3 linked regions of the Cricetulus griseus genome follow. The protein of the gene in region 1 interacts with the protein of each later gene in a pairwise test. Links are inferred from orthologs where the notes say so. Each region holds a gene or a part of one and is shown on either strand. Other genes may lie near its edges.

Region 1 (6,235 bases):
ACATCCACGAAATTCAGGTAAATCATCCACAAAACCCTGGAGATCCTGAAGCATATTTAATCAGACAAATCAGACAATAATCCCTAATAAGATTTAATAGTAAAGACCAGGAAATAGAGTAGTTAATCTCCAAAATGTACTAGTCCCAAAGCTACAGGTTCACCAAATAGGCTTGAGCTCTTGATGCTGGTTTCAATGGACAGGTGCCAAGACAGAGGATTAGTGTCCAGTTTGAGCTAACAGGTTTCTGCTAGCTGTTTTCAACTCACTGTTCCCCAATCCCAAATCCAGTTTCCATCAAACTAGTTCAACCCTGTTGGCCACACTGTACAACATACCCTACTTACTAAATGGAATTTTGATCACCACCCCAAAATAAATACAGGAGAGTGTAAACAAAGGCAAACAAAGGCTAAGATCCAGGCAGCTACAAGATTTAATTAAGAAAAAGGGAAAATGGTCACTGGAAAATGTGAAGCAGACTCTGGGACATTGCTTTAAAAATGATAATTACAGGAAAAAAACATCCTGCCTCTCCAAATGAAAGCTGCCTAGGCCTCCTGCTTCTGTGTCTTCCTGGACAGGACCACAGGCACCATCCAGTTACCGGTTTCCCCACGCTGCTGTCTTGAAAGGATCCACTCCCTCTCAATGGTTATTAACTTCCTTGGTAAGAGAGGAAGGTGCAGATAATACCTTTTTATCATCCCAGCCTCTCCTCCCTGGTTTGGTTTTCTGTTGTTGTTTTTTAAACAACCCACTTGAAGCTTTGTGGACCTGCTTCAAGTTCCCTTTGGTCCAGTTTGGAAGTAGAGATTCAGAGCCCAAGAAGTCAGGCTAAGTTTGAATTCTATCTTCAACATGGAACAGTTGGAGGAGTCATCTTGGCCTCTCTCCTAACCTGAAAACTGAAGATAAAAAGTGTTCCCCATGGGGGTACTGAGAAATTATACATAAGAGGCAATTACCATATTGCTTGGCTTGCAAAGGAGTATCCACTTACTTACCTACTATCTAGGTAAGTTAGTATCTAAGTTCCAAATTCTTCCTACATCCTCAAGCTAACCCTGGTTCAAGGAAAAAGTAAGAAGATAGATTTATGAAAACCTTTTAAATATGCTCAATCACGATGAAGGAAACATCTAGAAATAAAGGTAACTGCTCAAGTGCTCCTTTCTCCTGCAGCTTTGCTTAGCATAACTCATCCTAAATAAAAATGAACATTAAGAAGAACCACGTATCTGGCTTTCAACTCTCACCGGTAATCCTAAAAGAGGATTGTTCCCCCAGCATTGTTTTTAAGGACCCAAGTTAATATAAATGAAATTTCAAAATGGCCCTAATTATTTTTTTTAGTCATTTATTTTTTTTTATTCTTATGCATTGTGTTTTTGCCTGCATGGATGTTTGTATGAGGGTGTTGGATACCCTGGAACTGGAGTTACAGATAGTTGGGAGCTGTTGTGTGGGTGCTGGGAATTGAACCTGGGTCCTCTGGATGAACAGACAGTGCTCTTAACCACTGAGCCATCTCCCCAGCCACTGCCTTAGTTATTTTTAAGATAGAAAGACTGATGTGGTCGTGTATTTATCAATCCACATTTGGTTTCTGTAACGTCTCAGAGATGTTCCATATATCTAAAAAGTCAAGTTGGTCTTGCTTAACATTCATTCCAGAGGAAAGGCTTGTCCACTTTCTCTGTGTCTAACGTTTAAAAATAAGCTTATCTGTCTCGTTCAATATCAACTTCATCTTCAATATCAACTTCATCAACTTTTATCTTTCCAAGACACCACTGAAAAGAGTAATGGATGGCTTTCCCCCTGAGATGAAGAGTCATTGAGCAGTTAAAACCATTATCCTACAACAACACAACCATTTGCTCAAATCTGTAACTCAGTTCAAATCCTTCTGGACTACCAAACAATGATTTTAAGATGAATTATAATTTTTAATTCTGTTTTTCAAAGTTGCTGTCTGGAAATAACAAGAAATGTTGTTGGCAAAGAAAACTTTCACATGGAGGAGAAAGCAGTACATCTGCCATTTTTGTACATGAAATGTTATGCTACATGCTACACAGAAAAAAGAAGAAAACTTTAAAATCAAAGTTCGTTTGTATCATGTATCCTGTGGCCAGACAAGCATTCCTTTTGATTACTAATGAAGAACAGAAGATCAGAAAGTACAGTTTACTTATTCATCCTAATGAAAACCAGCTACAACCCCAATCATTTCTGGGGGAAAGTTCAAGAGAGGGAGTAGAATTAATGCACTGTCAGTAACTAAAAGCTTACATCAGGCCCTTCAGGGTCAGCGATTTAACATTTAAATTAACTTTCTGTTTACCAAGTTACACATTCCCTTTTCCTAAAAATCCAAGTACAACACAATGGCAACATAAGCATTTACTTCTTTAAAAGTGCCAGAAGTATGACCAAAAACTGATTTTCACTTACATAACAATCTTCAAAACTTATCAACAAGGGGTTATGAAACGAAAGCGTCCCATCCTCTCTGTTCATAAAAGTTCACAATGTGCTAAGAAATCGAGGAGGCAAAAAATCTCAAACACTAAGGAAAAATGTACTAAAGACACAAGGGAGGGATAATAGCTAAACGCAAAAACTTCATCGTCAATATAAAAAGCAACAAATTCTAATCTACAACTCTTACCCTTGACGGCAAGGAACAGAATATCCTGCTTTACACATTCTGGGACTGCAATTCTGCAATGCTAAATCCAAAGACAAAGCCGCCCAGGGGAAAATAACAATTGCGCAACAGATCAACAGCTCCAACTTGTCCCTTGGCCCCAGAGCAGCGAGGTTTGCACGCTATAAAGCAGGAAAGGGCCAACCGAGGGCCTCCGTGACTGCCAACCGGCCGCTGTCACCCACCCGGAGGCCACAGCCACGCACACATACACAGTGTGGGGGCCCCGCGAGTCACGACGCTCAGAACACACAGCCCCGCGTGCGGCTGCCTAGGGCCTCTGAGCCCGCCCAGGTCCTCAAGTCCTCGCCTGATGTGAGGCCAATGCCGGATTCCCGGGCTGAGGAAGCGCGAGGAGCCCTGCCCGTCGGGGCACCTGAGCACGAGGGTCACCCGGTGACTTTCTCTTCCGCCCCCAGAGGGCTGGGCTTTTCTAGATCAAGCCGGACTGGCATGATCCTACAGACGACGAGCTCTCGGGCTGAGAAAACCACAGACGGCCAAGGGGGCTTGGCAGCCGCGCTGGAGGTCGCGGCCAGGGGAGGGAAGCAGTCTCCGGGGCGGTCGCCGAGGAGACCTCAGCTCCCCCGAGCACGGCCCCGTGACTAGGCACATTTTTACCGGCACCGAATCTGGGAAACTACGCAAGCCCGGAAAGGGCCGGGCTGCGCCGGCGAAGACAGCCAGCGTCCGCCCCCTCCCGCCGCCTCTGAGCATCCGACCCAGCGAGGTGGTGTTGATGCCCTCTGGCCCCACCAAGCCCGAGCTTCCTCCACACCCCAACCCCAGTGCCCCCGGGGACCTCAGGCTCGGTCCCTACTCTCATCGCTGCCCCAACACCCCCGTTGCCTTCCCGGCCCGGCGGGGGGCAGCTCCCAGGTCGGGCTGTCGCAGTCTGGGTTCAGACTGTCCCTCCCTCCCGGGACCACTGTCCCCTCGAGCTCCCGTCTGCTTCCTGGCACAGCCGATAAGCCCAAGGGCCGGGGCAGCACCTGCTGGGACTGTAGTCCTGGCGGCGGCAACTCCAAGTCCATCATGCTGAGGACGAACGCTGCACTGAGGATCCCCGACGGCGACGCTACGTTGGCTGCCGAGGTGCGGCGGCGGCAGTGACTCGACGGAGCTGCCGGGATCCAGCAGACAGCCGGCTCGCTTGAGTGTCCGGCCAGTCTCAGTCCGCTCCGCCCCCCGCCCCCTGGGGGCGGAACAAGGACCTGGGGAAGCGACAGGAACTTAAGGGCGGAGTGAGGGCTGGAGCGAGAGGCAAGGGCTAGAGTCCCCGGCGAGGGCCCGGGGGCGGGGCAAGGGACTGGGGGCGGGGCAAGAGCCTGGAGTCGTGCAAGGGTCCTGGGCAGGGAAAGGGTCCGAAGACATGGCGAAGGGCGGAGCGAGAGTAAAGGTACTTAGAGGGGCCGGAGGGGCGGGGCAAGGGCCAGAGGGCTTGCCCTAGGGCGGGGCAAGGGTAAAGGGACAAGGCTGGGACCAGAGGGGCGGGTCAAGGGCCTGAGGGCTTCCGGCAAGAGTTGCTGTATTCCCCTCGGCCTCCGCTGATGACCATCCTCTAGCGGTGGTCCGGGCGTGGCCGTGGTCCCACGGGGGCGGAGTGCGGGCGAGAGGCCCTGGGCTGCCCGAGTCCTCGCTGGGACAGCTCTCCCTGGCTAGAGATTAGCAGCTGTTTGCTGAAGGTCGCTGGGGCTCTGGCGCTTTGAAGCAGTTTAAACAGTTGGAGCAAACACACCGGGAGCCCATCCCGGGCGCTGCTATCGGAGCTGCGCCTCCCTGATTCGGATCCGCAGAACCTTGCCCGCTTTATCTCGCCCCACCGGCTGACTGTGGCGCCAGCCGGGGGTGGGGGCTCTGGGCAGGGACTGTGCAGACAGCCAACTGCTCTCTGTCCCCCTGTCCTGCTCATGCTGGTGCGGGACAGCTCTGCCCCAGGGAGATGCGTCCACATTGCAAACTTAAGTGAACGCCCTCTATTTCTCCCACGTGCCCGCATCTAGCGGCCAGAGCTGAAGGAGTGTGTGGGTCGTTCACCCAGAACACACAGGAAGCAGCCACACAACAAATAGCATCCTTCACAGGTGTGGATCCTCATGATACAGTTCCCCCTCTTTTTTACGATTTTATTTTGGAACTTTGAGATAGGGTCTCATGAAACCTGGGTGGTTTTGAGCTCCTTATCCTCCTGCCTCCACCTCCCAAAGGCTGGTATATAGCAGTGGTTCTCAACCTTCCTAATGCTACTACCATTTAGTACAGTTTCTCTTGTGACCCTAAACCATAAAATTACTTTTGCTGCTACTTTATAACTGTAATTTTGCTGTTATGTATCACAATGTAAATATTTGATATCTGAAATGTGACCTCTGTGAAAGTTGATCCATCCCCAAAGGGGTCACGACCCATGGCTCCAATATAGGCTATGCCACTAGGTTCTGTTGTCCGAGATGGTGATTGTTTTTACAATGTCCATTCCCAAACATACTTCCCTAGCCCCTGAAAAAAAAAATCCAATCTATAAAACAGATCGTAAAGGGCCTAGAAAAAAATCGAGGGGCGTTCACTAATGTGTTAATTGTTGTTCTTTTGCTTCAAATGCTAGGATAAAGTAGGAAGGGGGTCCTGCAGGGGGTGGGGGAGGGCATGGTGGATTCCATGGACGTCGAGACAAACACGCCAGGCAGATAGAGCTTGAGTGAGAGGTTTTATTAGAAAGGGGAGGGAGGGGGAAGGAAAGAGAAAAGAGGTAAAGAGACACAGTGACACAGATGACAGAAGAGGAAGACAGGAGCAGAAAGAGAGGAGAATGGAAAGAGAAGAGATGGAAGAGAGCAGAAAGAGAGCAAGAGAGTCTAAGTGAGCTGGGGTCTGTCTTTTAAAGGGGTCCTTTGCACCTGTGTGCAGACCAATACTCATGGAACCCTGGGCTGACCAGGGGTACTGCCTGAGTGCATTCTGCCAGGTGACAGGGGCAGGCCAGCATAATGCCTGCATCTTTTCATTCCCACCTTTACTTATCATTAAAAAGGTGAGGTGTTAGGCATGGCTGGTTAGAGAATAAGGACATCAAGTTCTCAAGACTACTTCCTGATGATCTGGGGGGTGTTGACTATCTTTGGGGGACCCAAGAAAGCTGGGACGCTGCCATGTCCTGGGGTAGCTGGTTGTTTCATCACAGTCCAAGCTGTATGGAACTCTCTGGTACCTCTTAGACCTGGCAAGCTGTTGGCAGAGCAGAATACAAAGTTTAAGAATTTTTTTTTTCTTAGGTTTTGGTACTTGAGGGGAGGAGGATCATAAGATGAGGAAGGGGTTGGGGAGGTCCCCAAGATGAGGGAAGGGAGTCACAGGACCAGGGAAAGGTTGAATAATATTTATTTGGAGTGAATCTGACCTGTTTGGGTGGGTCCAATTAGGCTCGATGGAATGTAACAAGAGTTCTTTGAGTTTGTGAAAACATAAATTTTAGACACATTAGCAGTATACTCATGCCAGAAACAATTTGGTTGAAAGCAT
Region 2 (6,110 bases), on another chromosome or scaffold:
GCTCTACCCTAGGAATGAATGAATGCTCTACCCAAGGAAGGCTGGCACCTGCCCTTTCTCCTCCATCCCATCAACCACCATTCTAGCCTCAGGCCCCTCAGTGGCATCCTCAAATTCCATGGAGGCCCACATTTGCCCAGGAATGTCCTAACTCAGCAGTCACAGTCACAGAGTGAATGTCCCAACATGAGAAGGGGGAAAATTTTCCCATCACCTTTGGCCTTTTGCTTCTAGCAGCAGGCCCCAGTTTGTAGGACACAAGGCAAGGAGACTCCACTGCCACTAGTCTGCCTGATCAGGGACCCCACCCTTGAGGCTTTTCTTCTTCCTGGGGAAGCCAGTAGGGCCAACTCCAGATCTGAGGTTCCTAGTATTCTTTGGAGACCCAGGAGTGAGCTCATTCTTGAGGACATGACGGCTGACCAGCCAGGGGCCATGGCCTTCCTGTCCCCATCTCTGGCCCCTCAGCTGTACACCCGAGACATCCTGTAGACGGCCCACCCACTGGCATGGGCTCCTCTCTGGCTGCTGAGCCATACTGCTTACTTGGTGAGGACAGAGGGAAAAAATGTGTTTGCCTGGGTCTTGGCAGTAAGCACGGGGCGCCTCCTCCCTGCTGGAAGGGCTCAAGACTGGGAACTGAGCAGTGTGGGGAGCAGCAGCCTGGGTTCCAGCCCCATTCTGCTACCCACACTCTCACCGTGTGACTTCAGGTTGTCACTCCCTTTCTCTGGGCCTGGATTTCTCAACGTGCCCAACCTCCCGACAATGGCAATGTCCGAGTTTATTCTGTCAGATTCAGGCCCAGTGGAAAGCTCCAAAGCCTCCAGCAGGGTGGAGACACTGGAGGAAAGGAAAAGAAACCAGGGAAGGCTTCCTGGAGGCAGAAGCATGACAGCATAAGCAGCCAGGCTATGAGCCCTGACCTCCTTTCTCCTCCACCTGCACAGCTAGGGGCCACTTCCTCTTCCAGCCAGACCAAGACCACAGTGGCCTCACCACTGCCTTACTCCCTCCTCTGCCCCAACCTCCATCTCCAATAGCATCAAAGGGTCACTAGAGGCACAAACCTACAAACTTGACCATGTTTGGCATGTTTCAAGTCCTTGTGCTAGTTAGGTGTGGTCATATACATCATGATGGCAGCCCTCAAGAGGCAGAAATAGAAAGACCAGAAGTTCAAAGCCAGCTCAGGCTACATAAGACAAAAACAAAAATAGGGCTGGAGAGATGGCTCTGTGGTTAAGAGCACCTGCTGCTTTTGCAGAGGACCCTGGTTCTGGCCTTAATACCAAGTCAAGTGGATCATATCCACCTGTAACTACAGTTCCAGGGATCTGACACCCTCTGGCCTCCACAGCCATCTGCACACATATGGCACACATCAATTCACTAAGGCACAAACACCTATGTAAATAAAAATGAACTTTAGATCAATCTTTAGAAAAAAATATCAAAACCACAGAGCCCATGCTCTCAGCTGTCCCAGCCCACAAAGGAGCCCCCAGCTGATAACATGTTCACTTCACTCTCCCAGCATTCTTTTTGCTAATAAGTAACAAATGAGCAGATTGGATTTCCTAATGACTATTGGCCAAAAGGAACACAGCTCTGTGTGTGAAAGAAGAAGCTACCTGCACCACCTGCTCATTTTGGGGGAAATTCCTGCAAGACTCCTACAGTTCACAGTCTTGCTTTCTGTTTCCCTGGAGCTCAGGGATATGGACCCATTGCCCATTTCTTCAACTATCCACATATCCAAGAAGCACCTACTGTGTGCCAGGCCCTGTGTTGAGTCCTGAATGGCCAAAAAGGAATCACAGCCCTTGTCCTCTGGGTTCCAGAATCACAGCACCATCAAACTCTACTCCCTAGCCACCTCCACAGGGAAGACTTCCATGATCACCCTGGCTAAGTAGGAGCCCTATTACTACTTAGGCCAAAGTAACTTCCCCTTCATGGCCCCTTCCCAGAATGTGGTCCGTGGATCTGTCTGTTTACTACAACCCTAAGCATCTAGCCCAGCCATTGTGCAAAGGCTAAGTGTCAGCAAAGCTTCCCAGTGCAGTGAGAGGGGAGCCAGCAGCCCACACTACCACAGCCATAGGTGAGCAGCTCTCACCAGGCCTTCCTATTGCAGTGAGTACATACCCATCCCTTCACACTATGAGCCAAAATAAATCCTCCCTTAAAAAATAGGTAAGCTGGACAGATGGCCCAGTGATTAAGAGCACTTGTTGCCCCTGCAGAGGACCCAAATTTAGTTCCCAGCACCCACATGATAGCTCAAAACCATCGGTAACTACAATTCTGAGGGACCCAAGACCCTCTTCTGACCTCTGCTGGCACCAGACACTCATTAAAAAGGGGGGCATTACCTAGGGGTCCTGGGTTCTAATGGACCCCTGGGGATCAAGGAGAAACAGAATCTCTCCATGCTAAGTTTCCCTCTGTCAGTGAGCCAGTTAGCCACTTCCCCTCACCACTAACCCCCCAGCCCCACTGGAGAGTGTTTCTTGATCAGTTTTGAGGATGGACCCACCTAAATCCTAGGGTCCTGGCTGCAGCCCCCTCAACCACCCACTCTACACACAACTCCATTTGCAGGCCTTGGGGTTGGCTCTGCCTTCCCAGTTTCCCCTGGTAAACAGGCTGTGCATTGCAGCTGCCAGGGACTAAGCTCTCCTGCCACCCTGCCGCAGATGGGGGTGGGACACTGCAGTTCTCACAGTGATAGCAGAACTCACTGGCTCAAAGTTGAAGTATCATTGATTCCGCCCCCTAACAAGCTTAGTTGCCACCTCCTTGGATTCCAGAACGCTCAAGTAGGGAAAGTTTGAGTATGACCATGGTGTTCCGGGAACCAGCAGTCCTTCAGGTTGCTGGCCTAAGCAGGTGTTTTCTTGCTGTGCTCCCCTCCCACATTAACCCTTCCCGAAGGAGGACCAGGGGTTATACTGCCGGCTGATCTTGCTGGTTCAGGGTGGACTCTAGGTGTGTCCTGGGGTCCAGTCTAACGAGTTCCATCTGAGAACTGAAACTACCAGAAGTGTGGCTATTAGCCTCACTCCATCCTTCAGGACCCAGCAGGTGCAGCCTCAGACATCCAGATTAGGCTAGCCACTGTAGCCTGGGAGCCTTGCCTTCCCCAATCTTTGCCAAGGCCTTTCTGGCCTTCTCTATTTCTCCTGGGACCGGAGGAATGGGACAGTCCAGAGATGAACAGTCCATACAGAGCCAGAAAACCTGGGGCTAAAGAGGGACTTCCACGTACTTCGTTACCAGGTACACCAGATGGCCAGGAGACGGCTGGCTGGCTCGCTCACTTCTGCTCTACCTAAAGCTGCAGGCACCCGCACTGGGCGAGGAACAAACACTGATGTCACATGGCTCCAACCAGGGGAAACTCCGGAGACAACTGGGGCCGGGCAGTACCGGCTGGTGGGAAGTGAGAGGATAGCGGAGGGTGGGGAGGAGGGAGAGAAAAAAAAAATTCCAGACCTGGTGTAACCATCGACTGGGCCACTTCCTTCACTCGGGTCCTTATTCCGCATTTGCTCCAGTGGACACCGGTGCACACACTTCAAGGTACACCGGGTTAGTGTCAGTCTCCAGGGAGCGCGCGCGGCCAAAGACAAACACACACACCCAGAGGTACCCCGTGCGCGCTCAGCCCGTGGGACCCAGGGCGCTCCCCAGAGAACACACGCGCACGCCCCGCTGCCGGGGGACGTAAACAAACCGCGCACACACGGTGCTGGGCCGGGCTCCAGGACTGTTCTCACCGAGTCACGTACGTGCACGCCCCGCCCCGCCTCCCGCCCCCCGCCCCGCCCCGGCTTCCTCCGGGGCCCGCGAACCGTCCCCCAGCCAGCCCCTCGGAGGCCCCTCGGCGGGCAGATGCACGGGGGCGCCCACAGCGCGGCCCAGGCACAACCCGGAGCGCTCACCCCAGGCGCGGTCCCGGTCCCTGACGCGTCCTTACCTCTCTCTGCCAGGCCCGACTCTACGTGCGCGCTTGTCGCAGCTGTCCCCGCAGCTGTCGCGGTGGCGGTCCCAGGCCGCTCTCAAGCCCCACTCCTCTCCAACTGGGACCGCGGTTCACTAGGAACCCGGCTCCGCGTAGCGCCGCTCGGAGTTTTGTTATGAGGCGGGCGGCGCAGGGGGCCGGAGCCGCGCGCAGTTGTAAGGCGAGCTTCCCGGAATTACTCACGCACAGGATTCCTTTCATTCATAAAAACCCAGTCATGCACTGACGTCATCGCCCCGGCCGCTGGCCGGTCCCAGAGCTGCGGCCCGAGCCAAGGCCACGCCCACAGCCAAAGTGAGACCCCGCCCCTAGTGGGCCCCGCTCTAGGGGCCCACAGCCAGAGCTTCCTGGGTTCTCAGTAGCCTCCAGACTTTGTCCTCTGGATGCATTCACGTGACACCTCTCGAGAGTGGCAGGGGAGATGTCGCTTCACTTTACAGTTCACTGGACTCTTCTCTCTTCGATCGACACCCTTTGCCCGGATGAGCTCATCCAGTCTCGTGGTTTTAAATGCCGTTTCTGTTTGTACCTATGGGACCTGGATCTTCAACTGTGCCTCCACTTGCCCAAGTGATTCCTGCCTCCACCATGTGGGTAAAAGTGCCTGTCACTAACTCTGACAATTGGAGTTTGGTCCCACAATTTACACATGGAAGGATACAACCGACTCCTGAAGGCTGTCCTCTGACCGCCACATACTTACAGTGGCATGTATGCACTCACACACAGACACACAACAAATGAGTTTAAGCTACATATAAAAGTTATAAATAAGAATTGTTTAAAGTCTGGCCTCTGAACTAATGTTCTCAAACTCTAGAAGCACACAGTCATGAGCTGTCTCTCCTGTTCACCCCCACTTTCCTACCTTTTAAAGAGCTGAGGCCATGCCTGGCAAATAGGTGCTCAACTAGTGAAGGAATCCGGTAGACCATACGACACGTGGGGACTCCATGTGGTTAGAGCCTTTGGCCTCATCCCCAGCCTAAGAGCACCAAGGAGTAAGGAAGGCTTCATATCCACACCCCGATGCCCATAGAGGTTGATCTTGTTTTGGTAATGGTCAAACCATGTTGTGCACTGTCACATTTAAAAGTGGGCTTGGCCTTCTCACACTCTCCTTCCAGTGGCAGAGACCCAAGAGGACTCAAAAAAAAAAAAAAAAAAAAAGTACGCTGCAAGGCAAAGGCAAATGATGAAGAATAGGTCTTCCACCTCAGAGCTCAGGTGGTTGGAGGAGAGAATTATTTGGTATCTCTCACATCTTTGCATCTTTCAGTGACACCTTTGTCAGTGTCACTGATCTTTCTGGTAAGGAAACCATTGCCAAGAAGGACTGGTGGGGTGAAGGTGAAAGCTCCCCATATGCTGTCATGTCGGCTTCAAGGACTGGGCACTGTTATCCTGTCTACCAAACTGTGGGCCACAGGAGGAAACAAGACTACGACTCCAGAACCTGTCAGTCCTCAGAGTTCCTGCTCACTTGGAATGAAGGATCAGGCTGATTGAGGATGTGACCTCCATCCCCTCAAACAGCCCCCACAGGAAAGAAGGTCGCTGTGGTCACTGTCTGTGGACAGGACTTCTCAGGTTGTTTTCTGTTAATAAATTGCCTTCCTGTAAGAAAAAAAAAAAAGTGGGGCAGGGCTCTCTGGCTTGAGGCAGCTCTGACTAGCTAAATCTGGGACAACTTGGGCGTTTAAATAGAGCAGTAATGGATCGTAACCTATTAAGTGAGAATTGTTGAGTTTACCCTGATAGAAATAAATAGAAACAAAGCATGGAAATCCCTCAAGAGGAGAGAACGGTGGCATTAGAGTGACCATCAAGCCACCACATTGTAATAACACATTGCAACAATGATCATCAGCAGGAATTTGTGTTTGACAAGAGGCAAGATATTCTCATAGTTTGGAGCCAGCAAGATGGCTCAGCAGATAAAGACACTTGCCACCCAAGGATGTAAGCCTGACATCACAGTTCAGTCCCATAGAACCCATGTAATGGTCAAGGGGGAGTAGTGACCCTTACAAAGCTGTCTTCTGGCCTAGACATCTCTCTCTCTCTCTCTCTCTCTCTC
Region 3 (6,246 bases), on another chromosome or scaffold:
TGCAGGGCCTCATACTTGGAGCGCAGGGCGTCAAGCTCCAGCTTCATGCTGGCGTTTTCGGAGGCCAGCTTCTCCACTTCCTGCTGCAGCTCCGCCTTCTGCTTCTCCAGCTCCTCCTTCTGGGTCACACGCTTCACTCTGCAGCTGGCTGCGTAGCCGCGGTTCTTAAGTGTGCGCCGGCGCTGCTTCAGCTGGATGATCTCTTCCTTGGACAGGCCTCTCAGGTGCTGGTTCAGCTCTCGAACCGACATGGTCACCAGCTCCTCATCAGTCAGGCTGGTGCCATTCTCACCCGGCTCCCGCTTCACCTGGAGGAGAATTCACAGGGTCACGGGGTCACGGCAGAGCAGGAAGGCCCACCCCATCACACCCCGAGCCCAGGTTCCCCACTCACCTTCAAGGCCTTGTTTCCTTTATTGGGGGTCGTCATAACCCGGGGGCACAATGAGCAGGCACTCTGCAAGACACAGAGCACAGGTCAGGACCCTGTAGACCCCCTTTACACCCCAACAGGAAGCTTGCTGTCCGGTGCTCAGCCCACTGAACCTTGCCCTCACCTGACCTGAGCTGGGCTGCTTCAGAAGGCCCTTTCCCTAGAAAGACAGGTGGGAGATGGGGAGGCTTTACCCAGGGAAGAGCCAGCTGTGTGAAGGCAGAAGACAAAGGGAGCAGAGAGAGATTAGAAGGTCTGGGCTGCAGGAGGGGCAAGCCTAGAAGGAAGCTGAGCTTTAAAAATAACCCCAGCACTGCCCCAGAGCACACTGTTCCTGGCGAGTCACGCTGACTCAGCACATCGCCTCCCTCTCTTCCTGAGCCGCTCTCCCATTCCTAAGGCCAGCCAACAGTTCCCCAGGAGACCCACTACTGGGACCAACGGCAGGCAAGGGTCAGTCAAGGACCCTGTACTGCAGGGTCCTACTTTCCATGTATTTGTCCCTAAGCTTGCCCAGGACAAAAGAAAGCCCTTTCTCCCTCTAGGACTTAGGAGGCTGCTTCCTGCCTCATTTTGGCAGAGGACCAACCAGGTTTGCTCTAACTGTGCTGACTGGGAATCCTCTCACCTTCCAGGTAGCAGGCAATCCAGCTGGGAGGAGCTGAGCCCAGGCCCCTCCAGTCCTCCCTGTCCACCTCCTTAACAGATGGAGTAACCATCCTGTGGCTTGGTTGCGGCATCCTGTGCTCCTGCCCCACCCGATACTGGGTGTTTCACAAGGGCCCCCACAATTAACAGAGGGAGGGCACTGTTAGCTGGTAACAGGCAAGAGCCAGCCCCTTTTGGGTCACTGGCTAGTCTCTGGCTCTCTGCCTAGGGTCAGTGACCACAGGGCCAGGGAACAAAAGCACAACAGCTACCTTCTACGGTCAGCTACCCTCTGGCACTTTTTAAAATTTCTGATTTCTAAAGCCTTGCCAAGAACATTTTTGTATACCCAGGCTGGGAATCCCCCACTTAGCCCAGCACCATGGCTACAGATGCAGGGAAATGGAAGGAACTGCAGGAGAGGTTGTTGCAGTGTCTTCCAGGGGAGGCTGAAGGCTGTAAGCACTTTAGGCAACAATGTGTCGGGGTGGGGGGTGGGGGGTGGGGGTGGGGGGTGGGGGTGAGGAGTGGGGGTGGGGAGTGGGGGGGTGCTTCTTAACACTTATCAAAAGAACTAAAGTGTGAGCCAGGGAGGTAGAGGCTCCTGTTCTCATCTGAGCAAAGACCCTACTACTCTCAGTCTTGCACAGGACGTGCTAAGCACAGAAGCTGGAGACACTTCTCCAGGGCCAGATTAAGAGCATTTTCAGAGGCAAGAGTCCCGTTAGATCAAAGAGAAAGAAGTCAGGGCTAGGGGTCTGAAGAGGAGCTGCCTTTCTTAGAAGGTGGCCCCCGGCTCACACCAGGAGCACAAGAAAAGGTGAGAGAGGCAGCCCTAGCAGGAGCTTTTTTCACACAGACTGCAGACTTCCCGCGATTGCACAGGGAAGTGCAGTGTGTGGTAGCTGGGAGCTGAAAAGTGCCTCCTCAACAGATTTTCCCCTCTGCTGAAGGCCTGATCAGCACAAGTGCAGCCAACTGCCTCCTGGTCAAAGGTGTGTGTGTGTGTGTGTGTGTGTGTAAGGTGTGTGTGTGTGTGTGTGTGAGTGTGAAAGGTGTGTGTGTGTGTGTGAAAGGTGTGTGTGTGAAAGGTGTGTGTGTGTGAAAGGTGTGTGTGAAAGGTGTGTGTGTGTGTGAAAGGTGTGTGTGTAAGGTGTGTGTGTGTGTAAGGTGTGTGTGTGTGTAAGGTGTGTGTGTGTGAAAGGTGTGTGTGTAAGGTGTGTGTGTGTGTGTAAGGTGTGTGTGTGTAAGGTGTGTGTGTGTGTAAGGTGTGTGTGTGTAAGGTGTGTGTGTGTGTAAGGTGTGTGTGTGAAAGGTGTGTGTGTGTGTAAGGTGTGTGTGTGTGTGTAAGGTGTGTGTGTGTGTGTGTGTGAAAGGTGTGTGTGTGTGCTCGCCCGTGCTTGTGCATGCTTAAGCGGGGAGGGAGAGCAGGTCTCAGCAAAGCTAGTGTTTCCAGCTGCCTGCCTAGCTCCTGCCAACCTAGGGTCACACGGTGACAAGGCAGACAGCTTTGGGGGACAGCTGTCCTGAGGTATAGTTCAGAGCCTGAGGAAGCTGCTCAGAGAAGCTGCTCAAGGCCAGCTTGCCCCCCAGCTCTGCTCTCCTCCAAATACTCTCAGAGCAGACATCTGGACACTAGTCTCAAGCAAGACAGTGGCCCTTCCTCAACCTTTCGGGCAAACTCCAGTGCACGAGGCCCAAACTCAGGTCTCCCCTACCCCAGATACTGACAGTATTTGAAAACAACTTAAATGTCACAGAAGCATAGTGACTCCAAAGTTTAAACACCTCTCTGGGATCTTGAATTTTCATAGGGCACAAAGTTCCACCCTAAACGAAACACCTGGCACCTACGAGCATTCTCAGGGCTCAGTGTAGTAAGTGCGGATGGGAAGTCTCTAAGCCTAACCCCAAGGTCAGCTTAAGCTAGCCATGAAACCCCGGGCAAGGAAAGCAATGCGGAATAGAGCTCGGGACCCTTCACAGCAAGAGAAATCAGTAAACATCCACGCAGCCATGCAAAGGTGGGGGCCACACCCCACACAGGCTGTCATCAGGTCAGCCTCCCAACAGGGCACACACACTTTTTGCTAACTTCGGGCGACAGTGGGACCCCAAACTCTTCTGACAGGGATAAAGGAGAGGTAAATGAGAAAGAACTACGTTCTCCACTCCATGCTCGCACCTCAAAACTTCCACCGGGTACCATCCACGCTTCCCTCCCATTAGCTGGCAGAGCTGCCCCGGCTTCCTCAAGCCACACAACCCTTCTGTCCTGACTCCCGGTCTTTTCGGTGCAAGGCCGACGCCGCCCGGCCAGCCAGGGTCACTCAGAAGGAAAGCCTCCTTCCCAGACAAGCGGGCTCGGCCCACCTAGGCTCCTCCCCTCAGCGTACTCCGATCGGTCTCCCAGTTTGGGGAGCTGGACCAGGAGCCCCAGAGCCTAGGGGGATGCGTAAGCCCGGGGCTCTACCTTCCACCCCGCGAGGAACCCGCGGCGCACCCCGGTGATGCGTCCCTCGAGGCCTTTGCCTCCAACTCACAGGTCCGATAAACTTAAACACGACCCCCGGCTCCTGGCCCGACCTTCGCCGCCCGGATCGAGCCCTGCCGCCCGCTCGGACTGCCCGAGAGCCGGCCTGGGCCCCCCGCCCCGGGCCCGCGTCAGCAGGAGCACCGAGTGACCTCATGCTGATGACTCAGCACGTCTCCGCTGGGCTCGCACGCGCGTGGCGAGCCCAAGCCGCTCAGCGGGGTCTCCCCGCCGCCGCCGCCGCCCCTGCCCCTGCCCGCCCGGCCCCGCCCGCGCGGAAGCCGACAGACACCTGATGAGTCAGCAGCTCGGTGCGGCCGCCCCGCTGACCCGGGCAGACGCGCCGACCTCGCCCTTTAATCGCGCCCCCCGCGGGGCGCCCGGGGGTCCGTCGCGCGCACGCCCGGCGCTCCCAGCCTCGCCTCGCCCGGCCCACAGCCCGGGGGTGGCACCGGCGAGCCGCCGGCTTCCGACCGCCTGGCGCAGAAACCGGGGCCCGCGCCGCCGTCGCACGGTGCGCCGCAGCCCCGAGGCCAGGCCCCGCCCCGCCGCCCGCCCGCCGCTCGCCCGCCCGCCCCAGCCCCCGCACTCACCACACTGCGGGCCCCGGCGGGCCGAGGCGGGGCTGGGGCGGGGCCGCGCGCGCTCCGAGGCTGCGCGGGGCTGGGGCGGGCGCGAAGGGTCCGGGCCGCGGGCTTGGGGCGACTGGGCGCTCGCGCGGGCCGGGCCGAGCGCGCTGGGAAGGCCGGGCCGGACCGGGTCAGAATCCGCCACCGCCGCCGCCGCCGCCGCCGCCGCCGCCGCTCCTCAGACGTCACATGATGTTTGGTCACGTGGGCTCCATTCATGAAGCGGCGACGCGGCCGGCCCGAGCTTAAAGGGAAAGGCGCGGCGACGGCGAGGCGAGCGCGCCCCAGCACGCCTGCGCAGCCCGGCGCCGTCGTCCCGGCAACCCGCCGCGCCCAGCGGACGTCTCGCGGGACTCGCGCGGCGCCCTCCGCGTGCCGAGCTCTCCGCGGCGCGGACACCGGTGGCTCCGGTTCCCCCCGGGTCTCCTCGCCTGCTCGGGCCGAGGTCGGAGGGCAGGTTTGCCCGTGTTGCCGCGTCCACCGGCACGCGGGGTTTTCTCGGGACAGCGAGCGCACCCTGGCTTGGGGTTCCGGGCGATGCCCCCGCCTCTGCCTCCCGGAGTCGCCGCGCCACGCGGGGCCCCCGCCCGCCGTGCTGATGATGTGACACGGTTGCGGAGCTTCTTACCGCATCCTGTTGCGATGCCCCCTCGTTCCCGAGTGGGTCAGAGAGCTGGGAAGGCCCAGCCCACACCCCGGCCCGCGCCCCCAAACGCCCGACTGGCACTGGGGCTTCGCGGTGCGCGCTGATGGTCCCGATCCCGTTGCGGTGCAGCGTCTAATAAAAAGTGAAAAAGCGGGAGAGTTTCAGGTCTTTCTACGTGGCCCTCCCTTCTCAGGTGGAAAGCGGGCTGGGGATGGGTTTGTGTGTGTTCTTCCTGTTCAGTGCCACTGGGTAGCGGATGGACGTGTGGCACAGGCTAAGCCAGGATCCTCCAGTCCGTTCCGCCAGCCTCCAGGAATTTGTTTGGGGATCTCACACCTCAGTTTATTGTCACTGCCTGTCCTGTAGGGCCAAAAGTAGTTCTTAACATTGTATTTCTTAGGGGAGTGTGTGTGTGGGTGGGGTCTTTATCTCTCGCTGGGTGTAGCTAGAGTCTCAGGGTACAGTGTGGCTTGTGTGAATGTAGACTTACTCCCTATGCCCTCAGGGTTTCTGTTGTCTTCATCCTCCTTTCCTTTGTTTTTTTGTTGTAGTTGTAAGACAGGGTCTCACTCTGCAGCCTCGGCTGGCTTAAGCTCAGCAGCAACCCTCCTGCTTCAGCCTCCCGAGTTCTGACGGTACAGGCACGAGCTTCCTCCCACGCGCTCCTTGTTTGCCCTTATTTATGAAGATAAGTCTTACTCTCTTGCTCAGACTAGCTTCAAACTCTTGGACTCAAGAGTAACTGGGGCTTGCTGGGCTGTGGTGGTGTACTCCTTTAATCCCAGCACTGGGGTAAGGGTGGGGGGTCAGAGGCAGGTGGATCTTTGAGTTCGAGACTAGCCTGGTCTAAAAATCGGGTCCAAGACAGCCAGGGCTACACAGGGAAACCAATCTTGAAAAACAACAACAACAAAAAGTAACTGGGACTCCAGGCATGCACTGGGATCAGGAAGCCCTCAAGCTCTTTTTTACCCCCCAATGTTAGGGGTCAAACCCAGGATATTAGACATACTAACACACACACACACACACACAATGTTAGGGGTCAAACCCAGGATATTAGACATACTAACGCACGCACGCGCGCGCACACACACACACACACACACACACACACACACACACACACACACACACACACGTATTATTAGGTTAGAGGAGATGCAGGAGCCCCTAGCCACTCTCCCCCCTCAGGACTTGTTCTTTCATCTGCTGCTCCCTGTCTCACCTGCTCAGGCATCCTTAGGAGTGCATGCTATGGGTCCTGGGGCAGCTACTGAAGGGCACAGTTGCCGGGTTGATCCCTGTTCATGGATCCCACCCCTTACGTCGTGGTCCTCACAGCATTTGGTCTGGC

The links.
Region 2: the proteins of Nfe2l2 (region 1) and Maff interact in binary tests that used the Homo sapiens proteins (3 or more experiments, as listed by UniProt). The link is inferred for Cricetulus griseus from reciprocal best matches to the Homo sapiens genes NFE2L2 and MAFF.
Region 3: the proteins of Nfe2l2 (region 1) and Mafg interact in binary tests that used the Homo sapiens proteins (3 or more experiments, as listed by UniProt). The link is inferred for Cricetulus griseus from reciprocal best matches to the Homo sapiens genes NFE2L2 and MAFG.

What each region holds. Positions count from the first base shown.
Region 1 is NC_048599.1:99,367,172-99,373,406, reverse strand, and holds the start of Nfe2l2 (nuclear factor erythroid 2-related factor 2), read right to left. Parts: upstream 3,950-6,235; 5' UTR 3,754-3,949; coding exon 3,709-3,753; intron 2,829-3,708; exon of another isoform or gene 2,678-2,828; intron 1-2,677.
Region 2 is NC_048595.1:376,526,065-376,532,174, reverse strand, and holds the start of Maff (transcription factor MafF), read right to left. Parts: upstream 3,790-6,110; 5' UTR 3,555-3,789; coding exon 3,502-3,554; intron 1-3,501. UniProt on the Homo sapiens protein: Since they lack a putative transactivation domain, the small Mafs behave as transcriptional repressors when they dimerize among themselves.
Region 3 is NC_048600.1:133,124,078-133,130,323, forward strand, and holds the start of Mafg (transcription factor MafG), read right to left. Parts: upstream 3,790-6,246; 5' UTR 3,772-3,789; coding exon 3,625-3,771; intron 1,554-3,624; exon of another isoform or gene 1,062-1,553; intron 1,006-1,061; exon of another isoform or gene 628-1,005; intron 606-627; exon of another isoform or gene 558-605; intron 458-557; coding exon 395-457; intron 309-394; coding exon 1-308. UniProt on the Homo sapiens protein: Since they lack a putative transactivation domain, the small Mafs behave as transcriptional repressors when they dimerize among themselves.